Caenorhabditis elegans: one gene and its partners. Changing the gene in region 4 together with the main gene of any one other region gives a genetic interaction. Each region holds a gene or a part of one and is shown on either strand. Other genes may lie near its edges.

What was found.
Region 1: of par-2 (region 4) and mes-4, a change in one rescues a mutant of the other (synthetic rescue), as found in Caenorhabditis elegans (one study listed by BioGRID).
Region 2: of par-2 (region 4) and mes-6, a change in one rescues a mutant of the other (synthetic rescue), as found in Caenorhabditis elegans (one study listed by BioGRID).
Region 3: of par-2 (region 4) and mes-3, a change in one rescues a mutant of the other (synthetic rescue), as found in Caenorhabditis elegans (one study listed by BioGRID).

The regions. Positions count from the first base shown.
Region 1 is NC_003283.11:13,432,534-13,439,248, reverse strand, and holds mes-4 (Histone-lysine N-methyltransferase mes-4), read left to right. Parts: upstream 1-1,703; 5' UTR 1,704-1,735; coding exon 1,736-1,751; intron 1,752-1,800; coding exon 1,801-2,067; intron 2,068-2,118; coding exon 2,119-2,375; intron 2,376-2,424; coding exon 2,425-2,999; intron 3,000-3,047; coding exon 3,048-3,351; intron 3,352-3,781; coding exon 3,782-4,132; intron 4,133-4,410; coding exon 4,411-4,812; intron 4,813-4,865; coding exon 4,866-4,997; intron 4,998-5,362; coding exon 5,363-5,515; intron 5,516-5,567; coding exon 5,568-5,807; 3' UTR 5,808-6,199; downstream 6,200-6,715. Other genes in the region: srd-17 (Serpentine Receptor, class D (Delta)), read left to right, coding at 6,535-6,715. UniProt on the Caenorhabditis elegans protein: Histone methyltransferase. Dimethylates 'Lys-36' of histone H3, a specific tag for epigenetic transcriptional activation. Plays a central role in early development and is responsible for all H3 'Lys-36' dimethylation until about the 40-cell stage.
Region 2 is NC_003282.8:8,509,295-8,513,991, reverse strand, and holds mes-6 (Polycomb protein mes-6), read right to left. Parts: upstream 2,709-4,697; 5' UTR 2,556-2,708; coding exon 2,361-2,555; intron 2,307-2,360; coding exon 2,076-2,306; intron 2,036-2,075; coding exon 1,862-2,035; intron 1,818-1,861; coding exon 1,633-1,817; intron 1,450-1,632; coding exon 1,369-1,449; intron 1,291-1,368; coding exon 931-1,290; intron 820-930; coding exon 666-819; 3' UTR 570-665; downstream 1-569. Other genes in the region: cks-1 (Cyclin-dependent kinases regulatory subunit), read right to left, coding at 1-42; C09G4.4 (uncharacterized protein), read right to left, coding at 226-352, 405-459, 515-569; FYVE, RhoGEF and PH domain-containing protein tag-77, read left to right, coding at 3,452-3,593, 4,591-4,697. UniProt on the Caenorhabditis elegans protein: Polycomb group (PcG) protein. PcG proteins act by forming multiprotein complexes, which are required to maintain the transcriptionally repressive state of homeotic genes throughout development.
Region 3 is NC_003279.8:4,994,843-5,002,877, forward strand, and holds the start of mes-3 (Polycomb protein mes-3), read left to right. Parts: upstream 1-1,996; 5' UTR 1,997-2,001; coding exon 2,002-2,053; intron 2,054-2,674; coding exon 2,675-2,893; intron 2,894-2,953; coding exon 2,954-3,117; intron 3,118-3,168; coding exon 3,169-3,253; intron 3,254-3,799; coding exon 3,800-4,051; intron 4,052-4,098; coding exon 4,099-4,243; intron 4,244-4,550; coding exon 4,551-4,677; intron 4,678-4,729; coding exon 4,730-4,848; intron 4,849-4,947; coding exon 4,948-5,004; intron 5,005-5,394; coding exon 5,395-5,509; intron 5,510-5,558; coding exon 5,559-5,845; intron 5,846-5,891; coding exon 5,892-6,015; intron 6,016-6,712; coding exon 6,713-6,972; intron 6,973-7,019; coding exon 7,020-7,083; intron 7,084-7,313; coding exon 7,314-7,508; 3' UTR 7,509-8,035. UniProt on the Caenorhabditis elegans protein: Component of a Polycomb group (PcG) complex. PcG proteins act by forming multiprotein complexes, which are required to maintain the transcriptionally repressive state of homeotic genes throughout development.
Region 4 is NC_003281.10:1,079,819-1,084,428, reverse strand, and holds the start of par-2 (RING-type domain-containing protein), read right to left. Parts: upstream 3,035-4,610; 5' UTR 3,021-3,034; coding exon 2,910-3,020; intron 2,797-2,909; coding exon 2,713-2,796; intron 1,436-2,712; coding exon 1,298-1,435; intron 368-1,297; coding exon 296-367; intron 93-295; coding exon 1-92. Other genes in the region: kbp-4 (KNL (kinetochore null) Binding Protein), read right to left, coding at 3,171-3,274, 3,320-3,509; Ras-related protein Rab-18, read left to right, coding at 3,948-4,024, 4,087-4,142, 4,218-4,471, 4,523-4,610.

The DNA of each region.
Region 1 (6,715 bases), on a different chromosome or scaffold from region 4:
TTCGTTGATGGAGACAACTTCTGGGCCGCTAGGCATCCAATTTTGATCATTTTTGGATGCCTATCGGCCCAAAAGTTGTCTTAATCAACGAATTTCCGCGAGATAAATTACTAAAATAAGGATTAAAGGGTGATAATTTCAGAAAAACAGAAATTCAGCAGCTGTGACAAAGAAAAGTGTGCGAAATTTTAGATTTTAGCAAAGTTTGGCTCTTTTTTTTTCGAAAATTTGACCGGCCATAAAAATGTTTGGAAATTTTTTGTGAAGTCTCATTATGAAATTCGGTGGTTTTGGACCAGTTTTAGTCTATTTAAGCAAAATACCCACAAACTGTACTCCCCCTTTAATGTACACGCCTTGAAACATATTGGTGCATTTTCAGACAATTTTCGAGTCAAGCCAAAATTGTTGCAGAAATTTTCCAAATGCTCGAGCAAAAAGCTTCAAGAAATCTCAAAAATGGAACAATCTGCGTAGAAACTTTACTATTTGCATGATCTTTATGTTTCGTCGGATACACGAAAATTATGAAAATATGGTTTTTGACAAAAAACAACAAAGCCAAAAATGCAGAAAAAAACGACATAATGCCGTCATAATGTCGGCATTATGCCGTTATGCCGGTCATTTTATTTTTCGGCATAACGGCATTTTCGGCATATGCCGTGAATTTTCAAATCGGCATAACGGCATATGCCGTGCTCCAAAAACCGGCATTATGCCGGCATCGGCATATGCCGAATGCCGAATGCCGCACAGGTATGGCGAGAATGATGTGAATATAGGAGACCCGAAGAACTCGGGGGATGTCCAATTGGGGGGATTACCAACTCGGGGGATTGGCCCCGCCCACAGAACCGTGGCTTGCAATACGCCCATTTCTGCAACTGCCGCACGGTTTTAAAATTATTTTTTCTTGTTATTTCTCGTTCTATTGAGAAAAATACAGTTTTAAAACCGTGCGGCAGTTGCAGAAATGGGCGTATTGCATGCCACGGTTCTGTGGGCGGGGCCAATCCCCCGAGTTGGTAATCCCCCCAATTGGACATCCCCCGAGTTCTTCGGGTCTCCTTATTTACATAATCAAATTTGCAGCAATTTTTTGGGATTTTGCAAGCGATTTTCTTTGCATTTCCCGTGATTTCGAACCTTCTTGGCATATTTTTTAAAAGGAATGTTCATAGTTTGCGGAAAACGGAAATTCAAATTTCTCGCGGTCTGAGGCGTCCATAGTGCAGTTTCTTCGCCTTTTTTCTATCAAAATTCAAAAGTAGGTGGGGCCTGCAGTTTTTCGCTTTTTCATTGCTCAGCTTGAAATTTTGCAGCCTCTGATTCGTTGGAAACGCCCAATTTTTTGAAACTGACCAATTGCGAAGCGAAAAACTCCCTCGTTTTCCCCTCTCACTGTAGACGCCTCGGACCGCGGGAAATTCCCGTTTTCCGCAGCCTATGGACGCACAATTATAAATTTTTTTCTTAAGAATCTCCATTAATCACCGTTTTGATAGTTTTCCGCTGTTTTCCTTTAAAAATGCATATATTTCTCAAAAACTAAACAATTCGCGCTTCCGTCATTTTGGAGTATCGTTGTAAGGCGCGACTTTCGAATGTGTCCTCGATCAGCTTGAATAACGTCTCATTTTCTGTTTTTCTTTTATTAATACTTGTCAAAAAGTCGATTCATATTCTAATTTCATTTTCAGAGTTGCTTACTTCTCGCGCTTGGTGCCAAATTATGCTGCCGAGCTCTGGTGAGTTTAAATAATCGAAAATCAGGTCGAAAAATGCATCGAATTCCAGGTGACTCCAGCAAAGAGAACTGTGCTCCACAGGACGGTATCGTTGAGAAAGAAGGACCAAATAAACCTTTTAAAAAGAAGAACGTTAAACAACGGAATGCTACTCCACAAGGCGCGGGTTCCGAAACCTCATCCAATGCAGAAGACAAGCAAGAAGAAGCACCGATTCTAACGAATGCTCCCAAAGACATTATTTCGATGCAAATACAGGAAACGAAGGCATTTCTTAGTGAATATGAGGAGTTCGTTGACACAGATTATCCAAAAAGTATTTTCATTAATTAATTCCAGGCAGTCCATTAAATTTTCAATTTTCCAGCTACCTTCACCCACGTGCCACGAAAGTTTCTGAGTGTTTCGCCATTCACCCCGATTGAAGCCGACGCGGAAGGAGAGTTTCTTCCAGATGCTGACTCAAAATGCGTGATTTGCCACGAAGAGAAGGATAAAACCGGAAAATCTGATTTGATCACATGTCATGGATACATCAATGGAGAAATGGACGACGGCAAGCGTCTCTTGGGAAATATACCAATGTTTCCTTGTCGTAGTAAATTTCACGCGAGTTGTATGATCGTAAGCTATTCGATTATTTTTCTTCATCAAATATCGTGTAAACTTTTAGAATTACAACAGTGGCGGCTTTCACTTTCAATATGCAGCCCGACTCGAATGCCAAGCAAGACTTCTGTGCCCTCTTCATTGCTGCAATAGTTGCAATTTGGACCATCACAAGCAATCGGCTTATGTTGGAGATATTGCAGAATGTGCTCTCTGTCTCCGCGCTTTCCATTTGACGTCGTGTTATCCATCAGGTGGCCGAGATTTGAATGTTTCGATAACAATTGGTGGGAAAGTGGAGAAGTTCGAAATGATAATTTGTCCAGCACACTATCTACCTGGTGCTGATGTTCAATTCTACAATAAACATAAAAAAAGAAAAAACGCCGTCACTGTTGTTCCGAAAGCGGATGTTACAATGAAATCCCATATCAAAGCGTGTTGCGTAATTGGATGTGAGAAATCTTCGAATTCAAAAACAATCATGTGCAAGACTTGTTGCCGATCGTTTCATTCTGGATGTCGAGAAGTGGAAACGCTGAATGGAAAACCGATACCAGACGATCAATGCGAATCGTGTGTTTGTGGAGATCCGATTCCGCAAAATACATTGATTCTCGCGAAGTGGACGGACAATTCGTGCGTTTATAATATCAGAATTATCAAATTCATGTATTTTCTATTCAGATTCTGGCTAGCATTAACACTCGATTGGTACAAGTACCCTACTGGAAATCGTGGTAATATCAACTTTGAACGTCTTGGATATACTGTTGTCCAGTGGCTGATACCCCAAGAAAATGATAAAGAGAAACAACCTCTCATGTCAATTGTGCCGGTCTCGGATATCGCCCGTCTTACCAAGAATTACTTTTCGTTGGCAAAGAATTCGACGCTTAGAAACTTGTGGGAAGAGAAATATGAGGAACAAGCAGATACTGCGTTGAAGAGATGCCCGTACGTGTGTAAAACTGTATTTGGAAGACTGAGAGTGAGTATTCTACTGATTCTTCAGGAAATATCTAATTCGGACTATGGTTTTGTATTTTTCAACGGTTTGGAAAAAGGCTTTTATTCAGCTAAAATTGCGGAACCGACGAAAGTTAATATCTCAACCAACGGAACATTACTTTTAAAAAATTAAAAAAACAAAAAAGTTCTGAAATTTGTCAGATCTGCAATATTTGAGATTTTAGCTGAAAAAATGTCATTTTTTTCCAAAATTTTGAACCGTCTAACTTCTTTTTGGAGGAAAATGAGAATGTCTCATTACGAAATTTGGTAGTTTTAGACCATTTTGGGACAAAAGTGCAAACAGTGCTGCAGAAAAATTCAGCTAAAAATTGCCGAAAAACTTAACAATTATTTTCTTACTTTTAACCGATTCAGATTTATTTATAGCAATTTCTTCATAATTCCAGACATCTGTGTACTACAAATGCGAACCAAAACTGGAAGAGTATCACAACAACGAAGTTTGCAATTGTGAAGGAGCTGACCGCTGTACAAAGCTGTCGTGTCAATATCTCGCCGATGATTATGAATGTCCCCCGAGTTGTTCGAAAAAGGGCGTTTGTCATAATCGTCAAGTTTCCATGGGAATAGTTAGCGAGAAAATCAAACTGGCAGCCACTTTGTGTAAAGGATACGGTGTCTTTGCGAAAGGTCAAATCGAAAAAGACGAATACATATGCGAGTACGTTGGAGAAATAATCGATAAAGCTGAAAAGAAGAGGCGCTTGGATTCGGTTTCAATTTCGCGAGATTTCCAGGTAAGGAAAAAGTTTTTTTGCGATAAAAACACGAATTTTTACTTTTTCTTTTAACCGAATTTTAGAACAAAACGTTCTGAAATTTTCTCAAAAAAAAGTTACGGCGATTCAAAGTTTTGGGAAAATGCCTATTTCCAGCTAAAATTTTATATTTTGCCAATTGTCATTTTCAGAAAAAAATACGAAATTTGGTAGATTTGGGCTATTTAGGTCTAAGAAGCAAAATATCAGAGTTAAGTTATCAACGTATAACTTTCCAAATACTCTTTTTTTTCAAGGCGAACCATTATATGATGGAATTGCACAAAGGATTAACCGTGGACGCTGCCAGATACGGTAACATCTCCAGATACATCAATCATTCTTGCGATCCCAACGCTGCATCTTTCGTTACAAAAGTGTTCGTTAAGAAAACCAAAGAAGGCAGTTTATATGATACTCGCAGTTATATTCGGGCAATTCGCACTATTGACGACGGCGACGAGATCACGTTCAGTTACAATATGAACAATGAGGAGAACTTACCAGACTGTGAATGTGGAGCTGAAAACTGTATGGGTACAATGGGAAAAGCGAAACGCGAGAAACCGGAAGTGGCTGATAGTTCCGAGAAAGCTGCTAAAAAGAACAAATCGTCCAAGAAGAAATCTGTAAAAAATCAGAATAGAAAGAGCCAGGAGGTACCAACTTTTTTTCTAAGTTTCAACATTTTGATTTTATTTCTTATTTTCAGGCCGGAAAGAACGGAACCGCATCTAAGAAATCAGAAATTTCTCCTTCGAAACCATCCACAAGCTCCGCGTCGAGCACTTCCTTCGTCCAACAAGCATCATGGCCAATTTCCCAGAATAAGAAAAATTTAAAGGTATTTTTTGGAGATTAAATCGATCAATTGCTGCCAGCAATGATGTCGGTTTTTCGATTTTTCACTAAAATCGAAAATGTTCGTTTTCACGAAAAATATCTTTCAAAAATTTTGTAATTGTTCTTCTTTTTAGAGAGAAATTTAAAAAAATGTTTTCTTATTTTATTCATCAACATAAACATAATTTGATTTTAAAAAAAAAGAACTTTATGGTTAATTTTTAAAACATTTTTTTCGAGTTTTTTCGGAAATAGAAAATTTTAATTATTCGATTTTTGATGGCACCCTTGGTTGCTAGAGTTAACTTGGTCTAAATCGAATTTTCAATTCAGGTACATAGCCATTAAACATAATTTGTTTTTCAGAAGAATTCCAATCAACCTGTAGCCGACACCGGATCAACATTGAGTACATCTACAGAGTTGAATTTCCACGAAAAACCGCAAGAACTCTTGAGCCCTGTTTCATCGCGATCGCGCGCAGCTTCATCTTCAACACCACGGGCACAAAAATCAAAGGTACGATAATCATATTAGTATTAATATCGATTATATTCGATTATATTCACAGAGCCGTCGAGATGATGTGGAAAGTGAAGCGCCACCTGTGAAACGAGCTACGCCATCATTGCAAACAATTCAAGAAACCGGAAAAGCGATAGAGTTTCCTGCAACCAAGTCGGCTATCACAAAAGCACGAGCGTTGTCGACACAATCAGTTCCATCACCTCATACTGTGGAGGTCAAAGTTAGAGCAATATCTACTCGTGGACGAGTTCAAAAAGAGACAAAACGGTTTGAACCGATTTGAAAAGTGAAATAATATGCTGTCTCGCCCAATTGAACTCTTTCCAATAGTCTTCCAAGTACTAAATTATGATTTTACTTCAATTAGTTTCAATCAACAGTGCCCTCATTCTTTTTAATCGTACTATGAGTTTTTCCTGGACTGTCGACACAATTTTTGGAAACGCTGAAATTCATTTGACCAACGTTCAAAGAATAACGAAGACTTTCCTATTCATCTTTTTTGAAAATTATTTTCACACTAAACTAGGGGTTTTATTATTGCTTTAACCATTGCTTTCATTCACTTGTCATTTTTTTTTCCCTATGTGTTCTTTCGTTCTTGTTACTGCGTCCCATCATATCGATAAATACGACTTTTTTTTCTCATCTGTAATAAATACCTTTGCAAATTACAAAACAGAGTTAAGCGCTGCTTTATGACGATAAAGAGAAACTGGAGAAGATTAAGAAGAACACAATGGAACGACTTGTTTTGAAAAAAGACATTGGAGTCGATGAATCACTGCTAAAGATTTTGATTCGGAAGTAAAAAAATGCACATTATTGAGAAACCACGTGTCATTTAATTTCCCTATGCACAATAACAAAGGATCTTCGGATAGACTTCTTGAAAGAAGACTGAAACCATTTGAGCGGAAGCGATAATTCATTCATTAATTATTTTATGTTCGCTTGTTATACGACAAAATTCTAAAAATTTCAGTCTTGCACCATTTGCCAATTCAATAATGCACGCGTTCTTTGAAATATGGCACTGTATATGGGCTTTACTTGGATGCTCATTCAATTTAATGCTCATTTACATGGCTATCTATAAATCACCGAAGACAATTCGTTCGTATGCAACTTTGATTATCAATTTTGCTGTTACCGACTTTTTCGAGTGTGCTTTGGATTTGTTCATCCAAA
Region 2 (4,697 bases), on a different chromosome or scaffold from region 4:
GTATTTGTTTGAATAGTAGAAATCATTGTTTCCAGTTGTCATTTTGTTGGTTGGCGTGAGAAGGTGCGACTCTGAAATAATTCATTTTATTAACAAGCATCGGGAAATAGAAACGGACAAAAATAAGGAAAGAATAAAAAATATTGAAAAAAAAGAGAAGAATGGGAATGAGACAAGAGTGAGAATGGTGAGGAACACTGCATGTACAGACAAATCGATAAATGCTCATTGCTGACGCTGTCTGAATTGATCGATAACATCAACAGAGTCGAGTTTCCCGCGTGTTTCAAAATACTCGTCCTTTGACATTGGAATTTGACAGTGCTTGGTTGACCCAGCAGAGGAAGATGATCTGAAATAAAAAAGGTAATAACATGAAAGCTAATAAAATTTTCAAAACTCACTGAACATTCAAAAACGTCTTCTTTTTGTCACTTTGTAAGTTGCTGTCGACTGTCACTGAATTAGAAAAATTAGATAATCAGAAAACGAAAATAATCTCTTCGAAACTCACACATAAAGCTATGTTTAGGTGAAGAATAATCCTTAGAGGAGGTTGGGGATGACATTAGGAACTGCAAAATTGTAATGTAAAATCCACTGAAGATGATCGAAGATGAAATCACAACGAGATATAAAAAATTGAAGGTGAGAAGGAATGATATTCAAAATTTTGCCAGGTCCTTAGCGTCGACAGACGCAGATACACGATCAAATCGACAAACAAATCCTTCGTCAGTTACTAGTACTAGGAATCGGCCACATGTAGAGAAAGAAGCTTGCCGAACTGTACGTGAGCCAACGGAACAAGTGTGAGTCCTGTAAAAAAAAAAACAGGAATTTATACTGGTAATCACAGCAAAAATATTTCTATAATTTTTAAGAGATATCGAACATCTCAGAAATTATTTTTCTTGATATTTTACTTACGGATTGGTTTCTTCATTATTTCTCAAATCGAAAAACATCACAGAACCACCAGCTCCACCGCACACCAGCCATCGTCTTCTTGGATCAACGGCGAATTTGATAAACCATGCAGAACCACTCGGAACATTCATTGTACGAAATTTCGTTGTACACGACTTTGGACGGAGAACATTTCCATGAATGCGATTTTCAACTTCTCCCTTAGGTGGCCCAAATCTCCAAAAATGAATTGCCTTTTCATTGCCACATCCTTTTGATAGTGCGTAGTTAGTACCGATAAGAAATCGAATGCAATCCACATAATCAGAATGCATATCAGTTGATACGGAGGATGGAGTATAAATTGGAAGAAGGCAGCTCCTGAAAAAGAAGAAAACGATAGAACCAGATTCGTTGAAACAACTTTAAAAAAGTAATGGATGCCGAAAATCAACGTACGGTCGGGGTATGAGCTCTCTGTGAAGTTCGAGCAATTGATCTTCTTCTTTGTCGGGAATGTTGCGAGAAACTGCAGACTTTCTAAAAATACAAAAATGAATTACATTATGATTTGATAGCCCTGGTCTCTTTATTTACCAGTCTTTTATCCAAAACTCAAGTTTCAAAAATATTTTTATATACAACAACAGCAACAATTTTCGCGTTAAGGACTGATCAAATACTAGAAGGAACTAGAAAATGTTAGCTGAATAATTGATTTACCTCATTGTTCCTTTCGAAACATACGGAATATCTTGTGATTGTGTTAGCACATTTATTTTATCTTGGTGAAGAGCTTTGCACGCTCGTTCCAAATGTTCCTTTACTTGTTTCACAGATAAATCCCACTCCATGAGTTGATGATCGAATCCACACGATAAAATGAAGTCTCCGTCGGTTGACCAATCCTAAAATGAGAAATTCGAAACGTAAGTAAATTTAATAAACCAACCACAGAAAGAATTGTTCCAGCATGACACTCGAGACCCCCAATAACAATCAGACATGCTTCGTTTCGAATATGATGAATCCGGATAGATTGATCTGATGAAGCACAGACAATCAGATTTGAGTTGGCAGGACACGTACGAATGTCATTGATTTCCCATCCAACACTCCGAAGACGCTAAAACTCCAAATTATTTCAGTAATTTTTGATTATTTACATTCGACAGCTTCCTCGAGACGTAGTCGATAACGTAAATGTGACCCAAAGTTCCACCCGTTACAACTTTAAAGGGATTTCGGTCGTTTTCAGCTTCATATGTGTCGTAACACCAGGTAACAGTGAAGAGCGACTCCTCTCGTTCGACCTTTGATGATTTATCGGTAGGAAAATTACAAGACCACTGCAGCTCAATGTTATTTATGTCGATGGGAACAGAATACATGTGAAGCTGAAAAACAAATATTTATACCTCATTGTCAGTTTCCTGCTAAATAACGCTTACAAAGCTTCCTCCGACAGTTGCAACCGCTTGTTCCTCATCTATTCCTGCGTATTGATTGAATGCACATCCGTAAATAGCTTTCTTCTGATCTTCAAGTAGCTTGGCAGTTAGTACAAAAGGTCGTTTTCCGTAATCCTCTGTACTTCGATCAAACCCGTGAAGATTTAATGATTTGAACTTTTTCGTGTGCTCCATTCAGGTTTTTGGGAAAAAGGCAAGAAACAATATATAACAAAATAAAAACTTCACAGTAAAAACATAAAAAAGTCGATTAACTATCAAATTTGCAGTGAAAAAGGAAAAAAATGACAATAAAAACAACAGAAAAACTAAAATATGGCCGCTCGCGCGCATTTCTCGTTCAAATTGCATTAGTGGTGAAAAGCGCGGCGAGACCCAACGAGCGCATAACCTCATGCACCTTTAAAGTGTTATTTTTTTATTACAATTTTTTGTTCTCATTTTGGATTCTGTTCGAAAGTTCCGGGAGGTATTTGTGATTTCGATTGGGAATATGATAGAAAAGACAGTTGCCAGCTTAAATTTTGTATTGTCGTGAAGTACCACTTCCAATTTCGGAGTGGATTCGAACGGGATTAAGTAGATTTTGTACTCGGCTTTTTTCGCAAGGAGCGAAACTAATAATTTTGTATATTTTTTTTGTATGATCCTATATTGCTACGTGAGCTATTGTCAGTTAAAAAAAATGTTTTTGTGGTCTTTTTCAGATTTCAGAGCGATCAACTTGGGGGTATTCATTCATATTTATTATTTAGTAAAATTGTCCTTATATCAAAAGATCCACTTTGTGAATTCCGTAGACTTCTTTCATTTTTGCTATTTCGAATTTGTCTTCGTCGGCTGCTGACTCATCCATATCCCTGCGTCTCCAATGCCTGATTCTCTGCGTCTTGTGTGATTTTTTGTTGCTTCAACCTGTTCTTCTAGCGGTTGCCTTTTTCTCATGCTGTGACTGTTCCCGTTCATTACTAATTCTTAATTTCATAATATTTTAGTGTTATCGTTTTTTCTTCAATTTTTTAGCCAAAATGTTATCTCGAACGAGCTATAGTTATTTTCAGATCGCCTGTATGAAATATGACATGAACCATCGCAAAAATTCTGATGATACTCCACCGGCGTCTAGGACCGTCAAAGAAATGATGGCAGAGTTTCAAAATAAACTGGACGACGGAGACAACAGATTCCGGAAGCAACCACCACCGCCACCTTGTGAGTCTGAAACAGAGAAGACGTCTTGTATTTACTGTCGACAATTGATTGAGGCGTAGCAAAAAACTTCGTTTGCTTTGTTATCTGTGGAGAAAATAAAAGTTACGAAATTTCTTGAAAAAAAAAACTAAAAAATAATTTTTTTAAAAACTATTTATGTCTGTATTTATTGATAATAACTAAATAGATCATATGATCATAGTATTGAAAAAGAGAGAACCGAAAATCGGGTTGACAATGATTCTGTGAGTTAAAAAAAACAGTCAATTTTTCGAAAAAAAAATCTGCCTTAAACTCCACCAACAGTGAATCGAATTAATTTTTAAAGGAAATTAAGTTCTCATTTCAATTTATATATTCGTTGTTAGAATCTAGACGAAAATTCATAAATATTTTGTTACTATCATTTTTTTTTCTATTAACTTTTACAATATCGTAGAACAACTGATTTCCGTGTTAAAATTGTTTTTTGACTGTTCTTCTTCCTATTGCTTTTTGTTAACGAAAAATGCCCAATTTTCTTCAAAGTTCCTATCAAATCTGTACAGACGCGTGACCGATTGCGAAAGTAGTCAAAAAGAAGTATAAAGGCTTTTCGCAATATTGTTTGCCTAAAGGTGCCACTTGACAGATTTTACTCCTTTGTCGCCAAGAAGTGTACTAGTAATAAATTTTAGAAAATTGGGTTGTGTCCTTATATTAATTACTTGGATTATCGCCAACATTTGATTAAAATAGTCATTCTTGTGTGAACACTTGCCAAAAATATATTCACTATTTAACTTCTGTTGGTATTATTGTTCCACCCCCCGGAAGTGACCAATTTTCCGTCTGCCACTGTGTGTGCCTAGTGGTATGACTCATTTATTGAAAGAAAAACAATTATTTTATCATCTCTCAAAATGAGTGAAGCAGATACAATTACAGCAATTAGATAGTTTAAATATACCTATGAGGTTAACAGATTGGAAGATTCATTTTTAAAACAATTTTGCAGCCCCAAGACGAGCTCCACCACCGCCTCCTCATCGGAAACCTGCATCATTATCTCCACCTCCAGACGATGAGAATACAATTCGACCGCCGTCTTCTTCAGAATCGTCC
Region 3 (8,035 bases), on a different chromosome or scaffold from region 4:
GTTTTGCTAGAATTTCGTTCAGTAATCATTTTCTAGTGTTAATTTATTCTGTGAATCCATTTGGCAAGTTTTTAAAATATGTCTTCAAAAGAGTACGGTAGTTTTTTATTTAATTCGCAGTGTTTTTTTATTTTTATTTTTAATAGTAGATGAGAAGAAACATCAAAAATTGTGCTTCCAAGAGTCGACAGTCAAAATTCGTTAATCTAATTTGAATTTCGCGCGAAAATGTTTCAAATGATTCTCGGCCGTGTACTCCTCTCGGACAATTAATAAATTGTTTAATTTTGGATGTTTGTAGAGGTTTTTCGTGTTTTCTCATGATTTTACGGGAATCCTTTTGATTTTTTTGGTTAAAAACAAATTATTGGTGGTCTATGAATGCATTTTTCACTGTAAAATAGTGGAAACCGCCGTTATCCTCTTGAGAAAGTTCTAAAGTTCCATAAATTGTTCAGTTTCGCGGTTTTTCATTGAATAATTTGTAATTATTGTTTTTCGAACGTACAATTATCAAAAGAAAATCACGAAAAATCGCCAAATATTCCAAAATTCGATCGAATGGAGGTTTATTCTTCATTCCCTTCAAAATAGATTTATAATAATCTCTTGTTCGAACACTCCCTCTTCCCGCAGCGAAAGTGTAATAAAATGTCCAATAATCTAGCTAGATCTAGTTCAATAACTCATCAATTATATTGCCCTTTGATGTAGTTTTATAATGTCATAAAGTGCACACTTCTAAGAGTGGGCAGCTAAAAAATGCACTTGTTGCTCTTTTTTTCGCACCCTTCATACTTTTTTGGATCGATTTCTTTCATTTGATATTCATAATGACCTAATGTTTCCGCTGTACACTGTATCTGCACTCACGTGATGGGTCTCGCCACGGTAATAATATTACAAAATGATTTTGCCTATGCGTCTTTGAGTTTACTGTAGAAAATTAGTAATACATTTTTCAGCTCTACTTCTTTCTTCGCAGATTATTTTTCTGTGAGAACAAGAATACACAATTTATCCATTTCCATTCAATGAAAATGTATGACAGCGTGATTTCGATAAATCAACAATTGAATCCTTTTTCTTTAAACTTATAACTTCAATTGACATATTTTTAATTTCATTGTAAAACTTGGAATATAATTTCGTTGGTTTCAGTCTCTCATCCGTTCCAAATTATAATTCCAAACTCTCGAACGCGGAGACATGCGCACGCTCCTCTTCCTTTCCCTCGAGTAGGCGTCGCTCCTTCTCTTTTATTGATTTGTCGTGCTCTCCGCTCTTGTTTGAACGCGACCAATATGACTCATTTTTTTAATATTTAAAGTTTTTAAGCACATGCATAGTGCATTGCTCGCTTTCTACCTCTACGCGTTGTTCATGGCTCTAAAAACAAAGAGCGTACATTTTTTGAAATTCTATTTAAATAAATAAAATTATTATTGAGAATTCATCCGAAATATCTGTGAAATATCAAGCCAAACATATTTTTTATAATCCTAAAGTTAATAAAATTAAAATAAAGTATAGTCATTTTGTAAATTTGCTCAAAATGACAGAAAATGGACCGTAATAACCAAATATAGATGTTAAACATGCATAGAACTTTTCTAAATTTTTTTTTTAATTTTGCAAAAAGGTTCTTACGGTACATTTTTAATCAACCATTAAGTTTTACAAATCTTCATAGGTATAATTTTTTAATGAACAAATTGTTTGACTGGCAATAACCACGCATTCCTTCATTCGATTCCTTATCGAACCAGCCGTCTGTCTGAATATGATGTGAATTTCTTTTTTATTCTGCGTCTCCTCAATTGACATACTCTCTACTCAGTTTCCCAGAACGAAGTCTCTCTCATCTGACATTATATCTTTTTTGCGCTGTTCGTTTCACATTTTTCTTTCTCTCTCTCTCTCTGATTGGCGATTTCGAGATAAATCGATAATCTCGATCTTTGCTAAACTATTTTAAAACACAAAAAATCATTGCAGGGTATGACTCCGGCGACGGCAGAGGTGAAAGTTGGAGGGAGAAAACGGAAGAATGGTTAGTTGGAGAATAGGACATTTACTGGAATTTACAAAAATCAAATTCTTAAAATCAATTTTTAATTAATTTTGAAACATAAATCCCAATCGCGCCGAGACCCGCGTATTCTAACACAACGCTCACCTTTAAAAATAGTTAATTTTTTATTCGAGAAACTCGGCCTGAAACTTTTTATTTAACTTCTTGTTTAAATTGTAATTTAAACTATTATAATTAAAGTTTTTCCTGTTTTCTTAATTTTTCCACCAGTGAAAATTATTTTCGGCAATTCTACAAAATTACCTATTGTGCCATTTTGTTCCATCATATTTTATTACAAAACAGTGTCAAAAAATAGAAAATTACTTGAATTATCTAAAAATAACATTTATTTAAGCTGAAAAAATTTGAAAAATTGTTCAAAAATGGCTTGAAATTCGATGTTTCGTTTAATCAGCAATTGGCAACTCTCAGGCCATTTTTGAACACTTTCCCAAAATTTTATGCTAAAATAAATGAAATAAATGTTATTTTCAGATCAATAAAGTAATTGTCTATAGTTTGAAATTAATTTTTTTTCTGTCAAATTATAGTAATTTTTAGCATTTTTGAATTAATACTTTAAGCTTATTTTTGCAGATGAGCCGGTTTTTATCAAGACAAAACAATCGAGGTCAGCTCGTCGAGAAGAAGAAAAAGAAAATCTTTTGAACAAATCTCTTCCGTCAACTCCAACTTCATCAGAGGCCGGAAGTTCTCGGGAATCTTCAAATCCAGTCACAAGCTCCAGTAGACGAAAGAATCCACCTACCAAATTAGAAAATATTCAAAAAACGTTGCCGACTTGCAGTGACGGACGTTAGTTTTAAAAATCATTAATTAAAATCTCAATTTTTCTATTAATTCACATTTTTTCAGTTGAAATTCGCAATTATGTGAAAAAATATGGATTGCCGGAAGATAACAAGTTTCTCGTTCGTAATGTCTTCGACAAACAATTATTATTTGGAAAGAAATATGTGTGTAGAAGGCGTGTGATTAAAAGCATCGATGAATTTTTCCCGCGACTAAAGACCGATGCGGTTTGTTTGAATTTTTGATGGATTCATTTGCAAAATAAATTTTTCTTTCAGCACAGAGAAAATGGTTTATATAATTTCTGTACTCTACAATTCATGAAAATATCCTCCTGGGGAAGTTCGATGGATGAGAAGATTTGTTAGTTTATTTTTGAAAATTTTGAAAAATTTGAAACGAAATCTCGATAAAAACACTTAATTCGAAAAAGACCAACAGAAAATCACTTTGAACTAAAAATATCTATTCAATATTGATTGAAACCATATTTCACAAGAAATAAAAGTCTTTTTGAAATTTGGTTTTAAAAAAAATTATTTTTTTAATTAAAAAAGTCAAAAAAAATTGAAAAGTTCTGATTTGCATTATAAAACAAAAAATGAATTAAACTCAATAAATATATAGCCAGAAAACGCGAAAATGTCGGAATTCGCTTTTTTTTTCAGTTTTTGCAATTTCCTAAAATCACACAAAATTTATAAAAATTATTTTTTTCCTATAGTTTAAAGCAAATTTAATGATTTTGAAATGTTTGAGGTTTTTTTTCAAAAAGTAAGAACAATATTTCCAAAAAAATGAAATTATTTTCTAATTGTAAATTAAGATTCAAAAATACACACACACATAGTTTTTTTCGGTTTTAAAATTATTTTCTCATTAATTCATTAAAAAAAAGAACATTTTCAGATGTTACTTCTGCTGCAATTGTTCAAAGCTACGTGATAATTGTCGACGATAATGATTCAGTCACCTGCATTGAAAATGGAATCTCAGTTATTCCAATGGCGAATAGAACGTTACCATCTATCTCCTATAACAGTTCAAATGTAAAAAATATCACTTTGACGGGCCCTGAACTGAAAAAGGCAAAAAACGTATATCTCGCAGTGATTGTGAAACGAAAAACACCAAAACTTGGAGAAAATCGAGTTGGGACAAGTGAGTGAAATCATTTCTTTTTTTTAAATAAAAAGTTTCTTTTGTAGGAGGAAAATCAACTCGAGCATCATTCGAAACGGCTGCTTCCTCAGAAAACTTTCAGCAACTTGTTCGTTTTGGGTGCACTTTGATGTATGATAAGGATGCTGAAATTAACTGCCTAAATGACGGAGTTCAACGTATTATCTTACTGTAAGTCGCTTTAAAATTATAAATGCAAAAATTTAAAAACTTAAAAATTCAAAAAAAATTAAAATACTTTAAAAGTTTTTTTTTCCAAAATTTATCCGAAGGTGAATCTATAAAATTAAACTGGCCTGCTAATTTTTTAAAAAGGGGGTTTTCTGAAGATTTTGAGCGAAAACTGTTGTCAAAATAAATAAAAAACTGAAAAACATTTTTTTTCGAGAAACACGCGCTCAAATTGACGGGTATACGGTAGAAAATATTTTTTCAAAAAAAATTGTATAATGAAAAATATTGCTCTTGATTTTTCCAGTGATCGAGAAGAAAAGCCAGCGTATTTGAAAATTTTCGGGAAGGCCGATGAACCGGAACTCGAGAATGCTTGGATGAATAATGTTAAGCATTTGGAGTTTATAAGCGATACAAATTATAACAAAGAGGTAACGATGAAGAGTTAATAAACTTTTATAAATAATTGATTTTTTTCTACAGGATTCTCATCTCGCTCGTCTAATCTTCTCTTCAAATACTCATAATTATTTCGATAGACCGGACATTTCAAAATTCTCTCCATGGCAGCCGCGATCCAGAAGGACGACACTAAAATCTGGGTGAGAAATTCGATTTTTTCTCTTTTTTTAATTTTGTTTTTATCTGGTTTTTGCACGACCGTAATCCCGCACGCTTATTGTGTTTTCCATCATTTTCAGAATCTCCGTCGAGCCAGGAACGAGTTGCGATGAGGATTGTGGATCGCAATATGAAGAGTTCGTTTTTGATCCCTACCACCTGATTTTTTGTTTGAATATCTAATTTTTAAATCACTAAGTTTGCTGGATTTTTTCCCTTACAGAATTTCTAATTTCGGGTGCATTTCTTCTTTTTTCTTAGTTGGCTGTAATTGATACCTTCCAAATAGCTTGTCGTGATTTTTGAAAACCGTGAAGCTGCATTTCAGAATTTTTGAGTTAAAACTGGGGGGTTTTGTCCAAAATTACAGAAGGCAATCTGCATACACCGGATAGAACTTCAAAAAAAATCATCTAAATTTTATAGTTAATCACTCACTACATTGGATATTCGCGGAACTTCATGTTTCTATCCAACCATAGATCATCTAACTGTTCTTCAAAATTGTTTAGAAAATATAATTACAGTACAATCACTCTCAAGCAGTTACTCCTTGGAACGAAAAAGCTATGCGGAAGACGTAAGAGACATTTGACCCGACTCACTTCAAGATGGCCGTGTTTTTCAGTCGATCCGACGAAGGTAATTCTTAAAAAACTATAATTTCAAAGCTTAAGTGCAATTATTTCAGATCAATTCATATTTCAATGAAACTGGTGTCACTTTGCTGGAAAATTCGTGTTCCTACCGTCCTGGAACTCAACGAAGCATTCCAATAAAACCTACCCGAGTGATCAGAGTTAGAGAAGAAACTCCAGTTTCCGTTCCAATTGAGGTTATTACGATTGAAGATGATTCAGATGATTCACCATGTTTTTCTGCGAGAAATCGAGCACCAGGTGGAACACGGAAATATGGATTAGATTTTATACAATCTTCGGGTCATATGCCATATATTCGTTATGTTTATATGAACAGGTAATTTGATTTAATGCAATCCAGTAAAAAAATATATGATTTGCAGAGCAAATGACTTAGTGCCCCAGCTGAATGGCGAAGAAAATGGAAAAATCGAAGGTCTTATGGAAGCATATCCGATGAATAATGCTCACATGTATTCAGATATTGAGTTCCTGAGAAAAGAAAAAGTAAGAATTGTTTTTAAAAAAAAGACATAAAAGTTGTAATAATTTTCGCTTTTTTCACTAAAATCGAAAATGGAATTTTTTGTTTCGATTTACTGATTTTTGCAAAAATAAAACAAAACTTTAAGATTTTTCTTTTTTCCGATATTTCGAAAAAATTGCATAATTTGTTTTCTTTTTAGAAGCAATTTGTATGTATTTCTGAAAAAGCGAACAAAATTGTTTCCTGAAGGCGAAATCTATTTTTCCCTCAAAAACCCAAAAAAAAAAAAAAAAGTGAGAAAGGAAAAATTGAGAACCTTTCATTATATTTTTTGAATTTTTTGAATTGACTCCAAAAACAGGAAAAAAAAAACAAAAAATCCCAGCCTTGATTACGATATTAAAAATTTTCTATTGTGACATGTTGCTCCAACAATTTGTATTTAAAATTAATGTCAAAATATAGAAAAACACTCGAATTATCTGGAAATAACATTTATTCTGGCTGAAAATTTTGAAAAAGTACTCAAAAAATGTCCTGGAAGTTGCTGATTGCCAATTATCGAATTATTGAATTTCAGGTAATTTTGAACACTTTCTCGAATGTTTTAGTTGAAAAAAAGTTATTTTCAGATAATTCTAGTGATTCCTGCACTGAACACTAAAAAAAACTTGTCGCCGCAAACAAAAAAAATTAAAGCAAAATTACAAATTTCAGTTGAATCTTCCGAAGAATGCTCAAAAATATGGCGAAATGACAATTCTTGACTATCCACTAACGAAGACGGAAACGGACGAATATAATAAAAAGATGTCTGTGATGAATGTCAAAGATTTTGCGGTTAAACCCAGAAAACCTATTCCAACAGTCGGAAATACCACTTTAAGTTTGGATTTGGAAGGATGTCCTATATCGACATTTTCAGAAATATTCTTCCCAAGTGGAAAAACTGAACTATTCAATATTCTATGCAGACAGTAAGTGTTATAATATTAAGTCATATATTAAAACCCAATTTTTGAAGTTTCTACTCTGAAGCTGGACAACGCCCTGGATGCTTCTCAGCACAATGGAAATCTAGAGTTTTGGTGAGTTTATTGAACATTCAGGACTAGATTGGCAAACGTACGGAATTGCTTAGTACAGTATTTTTGAATCAAAACCTTTAAACTTCTTTTCAACGAAAATGAAAATTATTTTCAGAGTCTTTGATTCTACAAAAAATGAATTAGCGTACTAAAATAAGCATCTCAACACTTTTGCCAAGATTTGCCTTAACTTAGAACGCATTTTTGAATTTTTCATAAATAATTTTCAGACTGGCTTCATCAACAAATACCATCAGTACATTTTCGACATGAAATTGAATTCTTTATTCGAGAAACAAATAAATCTCATCGCTATGGTCAGCCCTGACTGGAAATTAGAAGATTTTGAATTGCCCATGGTTCGATATAAGCAATTGAAAAAAGAATGGAAAAATCGCCAACGAGATATACCATCTTCTAATTAGATTATCCCCTTTTTTCCTTGTATCTTTTTCTTTTTGGAAATCCTGTGTTTAATCTCTTTTCCATTTATCAATCAACTATACCAAATCGTGGTGGGTGGCAATTCTACTAAATGACATTAAAAATTAGTCTGAAAACATAGAAAATAATTTGATTCTTCTGCAAATAACATTTGTTTCAGTTGAAACACTTGAAAAAATGATTAAAAATTACCTGGAAGTTGGAAATTGTCGAATTTTGCTATTCGGCAATTGGAAACTTTCAGACTATTTTTGTGCAATTTTCAAATCTTTCAGCTGAAATAAATGTTATTTTCATATTTTTAAATAAATTAATTTTCTATTTTGAGACTAATTTTTAATGAACAATATTGGCCAATTTATGGAATTGCCAAAAGTAATTTCCACCCACCGCTGATCCCAAAAATACTACAATTTTTAGCACCTTTTGACCCAAAGAACGTCGTACTTCAATGATCTTCCAGATTACACGAGTCATCACTAAGTTTTTCTTCATTTCTTTTTCTTTC
Region 4 (4,610 bases):
AATAAGCGTCGTTTAGACCGTTGTGACAGGCTTCTCGTCATTTTTTGAGCCGGAATTTCCTCCGAAATTGGTGGTGTTGGCGCTTTTTGGAGCTGAAAATAGTGAAAAATCCGGGTTTTTAGGGGGTAAAAATTGGGAAAATCGGGGGTTTTTAAGCTTTAAAAAAAGTGGAAAACCACGATTTTTCAACTGAAAATGGTGAAAAAACCCGACTTTTGGGGTCAAAAACACCTAATTTTCATGATTTTTTCACTCAAAAACCCTGAAAATTCGCATTTTCCTGCAAAAACTCAACCTTTTCCTCACAAATGAACAAATCGTCGTAGCTGCTCTCGATATTCTCCTGGTTTTTCAATTTTCGGACCATCTGAAACGAAAATTCGTTGAATGTTTTGGTATTTTTCTGCGAAAAAATGCAAAAATTTGAGATTTTAGCTAGAAAATTGGGTTTTTGAGCTAAAAATTGCAAAAATTTTGGATTTTTAACTGAAAAATCGGGATTTTGAGATTAAAACTGGGTTTTCAAGGTAAAAATTGCAAAAAATTGATATTTTTGCAAGAAAATCGCAATTTTTTTTGACTAAAATTAAGTTTTTCGGCGAAAAAATGCAAAAATTTGGGATTTTTAGCTGGAAAATCGGGATTTTGAGATTAAAATTGAGTTTTTCTGCGAAAAATGCGAAAAATAGCTTCAAAATCAAAATTTTCAGGGCTTCCAACAGATTTTTACCCTGAAAATGGAGAATTTTAACCCAAAAATTCATAATTTTTTAGGTTTTCCTATGAAAAAGTTTATTTTTAGGTCAAAATTCCGGTTTTTCAGTGTAAAAACCAACGAAAATCAAGAAATTTTAGATGTAAAAGTCAACATTTTTCTGAATTTTCGGCAAGATTTTCAAGGAAAAATCGGATTTTTGACCGAAAATGCATAATTTATAAGTTGAAAAATGTATTTTTGTGGTTTTTTTGGCTGAAAAATATCAAGTTTTCCACGGGAAAATGTGATTTTTAAGTCAAAATCTCGGCCTTTAAGGCTAAAAACTTTCGAAAATTGAATTTTAAGCCAAAACTATGCTTTTTATGGCTGAAAATGCAATTTTTAGTCACAAAATTCAAAATTTTGAGGAAAAAATCGGGTTTTTAAGCGTATTTTTGTAGTTTTTGCCGTGAAAAATCGTTTTTTCGGACTAAAATTAGAGTTTTTTGGCTGACAAATGCGATTTTAAGGTAAAAATCCACGGTTTTCCGGGGTAAAAACTGTCGAAAAATCCGAATTTCGCATCAAAATCCGTCGTACATTATCAAGTGTAATGCTGGGAATCATCGCTGCAAATGGTCCAACGTCGAGTTTACAGATTACACAGGCTCTCGTATCACGTGTATGTCGTTCGATGCACGGCTCACAGTACGAGTGCCCACATGTTACCATTACGGGCTGAAAATTTGGAAAAATTGGCTGAAAATTGTAAAAATTAGGGTAGAAATGGGGTTTTTCGGCTGAAAATCGAAAAAATCGGCGGAAAACTGGGATTTTTGACATAAAAATTGGAAAAATCCGGGAAAATTGATGGTTTTTGGGCTAAAAATCGGAAAACTCCGCTGAAAAACTGGGGTTTCTTGAGCTAAAAATCTGGGAAAATGGGTGATTTTTGAGATGAAAAACGTAAAAAAACGGGAGAAAACTGTGTAGTTTTTGGGCTAAAAATTGTAAAAATCCTGAGAAACCGAGATTTTTGGGTTAAAAATCGGGAAAATCCTGGGAAAAATCGGTGATTTTTGAGCTAAAAATTGTGTAAAAATCGGCAGAAATCGGTGTGATTTTTGGGTTAAAATTGTAAAAATCCGGAAAAATTTGGATTTTTCGGCTGAAAATTGAAAAAAATCTTAAAATATTGAAGTTTTTTGAGCAAAAAATTGGAAAAATCTGGAAAAATGGGAGGTTTTTGAGCTGAAAATCGAAAAAAATCGGTTATTTTTGAGCTAAAATCAGAAAAATCCGAAAAAAATCGGTTATTTTTGAGCTAAAATCAGAAAAATCCGAAAAAATTGGGGTTTTTTGGGCTAAAAATTGTAAAAGTCCGGAAAAATTGTGGGTTTCGAGCTAAAAATCGTTAAAATATGGGAAAAACTGGAGTTTTTTGGCTAAAAACCGAAAAAATCCGGCAAAATTGGGGTTTTTAGGGCTAAAAATCGGAAAAATCCAAAATTTTAAGCTAAAATCTGTAAAAATCCGAGAAAAACTGGGGTTTCTGAGCTGAAAATCGAAAAAAATCTGAAAAATTGTGGTTTTTAAGCTAAAAACTGTAAAAATCCGAGAAAAACTGGGGTTTTTGTGCTGAAAATCTTAAAAATCCAAAGTTTTTAGTCTAAAAATCGTAAAAATCGGCAAAAAACTGTAAAAATCCGAGAAAATCTGTGATTATTATGCTAAAAATCGGAAAAAATGCGGTTTTCTAGCTAAAAATCCCCAAAAAATCGTGATTTTTGGCTGAAAATCTGGAAAAATGGGCAAAAACAAGACAATTTTCGGAATTTCAAGTTTTTATGAGAAAATTTCGCATTTTTCCCCGATTTTTCACATTTATAGCTGGAAAAAGACGAAAATTGCACATTTTTGGGTCAAAAATGGGTAAAATTAAGCGATTTTTAATGGAAAATCCGCCATTTTTCACGCAATTTTTCTTGAAATCCTCGGTATTTCCATGTTCTAACCCTGTCGAAAAGCTGATCACACAGTGGACAGAGGAGTTCCGAGCTCAAATCGCGTCGAACCGGCTGTTGAACGTCGTTGATGCACTGAAAATTGTGTTTTTAGGCGGTTTCCAGGGCGAAAAACACGATTTTCTGCTTATTTTCCAGCAAAAAATGCGTTTTTTCGATTTTTTTCGCCGCTAAAAATCCGATTTTACCGCTGTAGAAGTAGTTGCGTTGGACTCCAGCAGACGTGGCGATGAGTTGGCAATCGATAAATCGCTCTGCGAAGCCCGTATTTGAGCGGATGAAGTGTCTAAATCCGTCATTTTTGGGCTGAAAATGAGGATTTTGAGCCTGAAAAATCATTGAAAAACGCTGAAAAATAAGTATAAAATGCATGAAAAGTACAGAAAACTGGGAAAAACAACGGGGTTAAGGAATACAGAACTTTATATGTACAGAAATAATGAAAATTGTTAGAAAATTTCCTCGGCGACCTTCTTCAGCTCATCCTGAAACTCTTTTTGAAGAGAAAACGCGAATTCCTTGACTTTATACTGCTCCTGGAGGTCTTCGAGTTCTAGGAAATGGGAAAATTATTGTGAAAATTCACTAAATTTCTCACGTTTTTCCACCAATTTTCGCTTCTCGAGCGTCTCCTCCAGCTTCCGATCGGCCTCGTCCATTTCCTTGTTAATTATCTGCAGTTTGGAGGCGCAAACTTCTTGGAGATCCGAAAAATCTTGGGTTTTCGGCAGTTTTTCGACTTTTACCGCGAGAACTTCGTTGATCATGTCGTCGATTGATTTTTGCATTTTTTTTGATTGCTGAAAACTGATAAAAATTTGGAAAAATTATAAAAAACAAAAAAAATAAAAATAAAAAACACGAAAAACGTTTAAAAATTAAAAAAACAAAAAAACAAATTTCAAACAAATCCATTTTCGCGCCATCGGGTCTCACCACGACAGGCACTTGGCATCGTGCCAAGTGCAAGTGCGCTCCATCGCTCTCTTTTCCGAAAGAGCGTCTCGTGCAACGACATCTGACATTTTCGAAGGGAAATTTATTGATTTTTCGGCAAATTTTTGGGTTTTAAGGTGAAAAATCTATTTAAAAGTGTTAAAAAATTAACTTAAAATGGGGAAAATACCCTGAAAAATCGAGTTTTTTATCTTTTATCCTTAAAAACGTAAATTTCCCAACAAAAAAAAAATTATCCTGCATTTTCCCTTCGTTTTTACGAATTCCAGATGTCCGACGACAGTTCAAGCCCCCTCACAACTCTCAAAATCCTGATTATCGGCGAAAGTGGCGTAGGGAAGTCGAGGTGAGGGGTTTTCTCGCCCAAAAAAAATTTAAAAAAATCAATTTAAATTCAAAAATTTTCAGCTTAATGCTACGATTCGTGGACGATGTCTTCGATCCTGAGCAGGCTGCAACGATAGGTTCGTGGAAATTCCAGGGATTTTTGGATTTTTTGATTTTTAGGCCAAAAAAACCCTAAATTTATTGTTTTTTAGGCGTGGATTTCCGCGTAACTTCAATGGCAATCGACGGAAATCGTGTAAAACTCGCAATTTGGGACACCGCCGGCCAGGAGAGGTTCCGTACCCTCACGCCGAGCTATTATCGTGGAGCACAGGGCGTAATTTGCGTGTATGACGTCACTAGCCGCAGCTCCTTCGAGAAATTGAATCATTGGATGCAAGAAGTCGATACTTATTGCACAAATGACAATATTATCAAGATGATGGTCGCGAACAAGATTGATATGGTGCGAAAAAGCCGATTTTGTTCGATTTTTGGCCTAAAAAATAATTTTCAGCCAAATCGAGTGGTAACCCGCGAGGAAGGCCTAAAATTCGCAAAACGCCACCGCACACTATTCATTGAAGCTTCTGCGAAGACTAAGG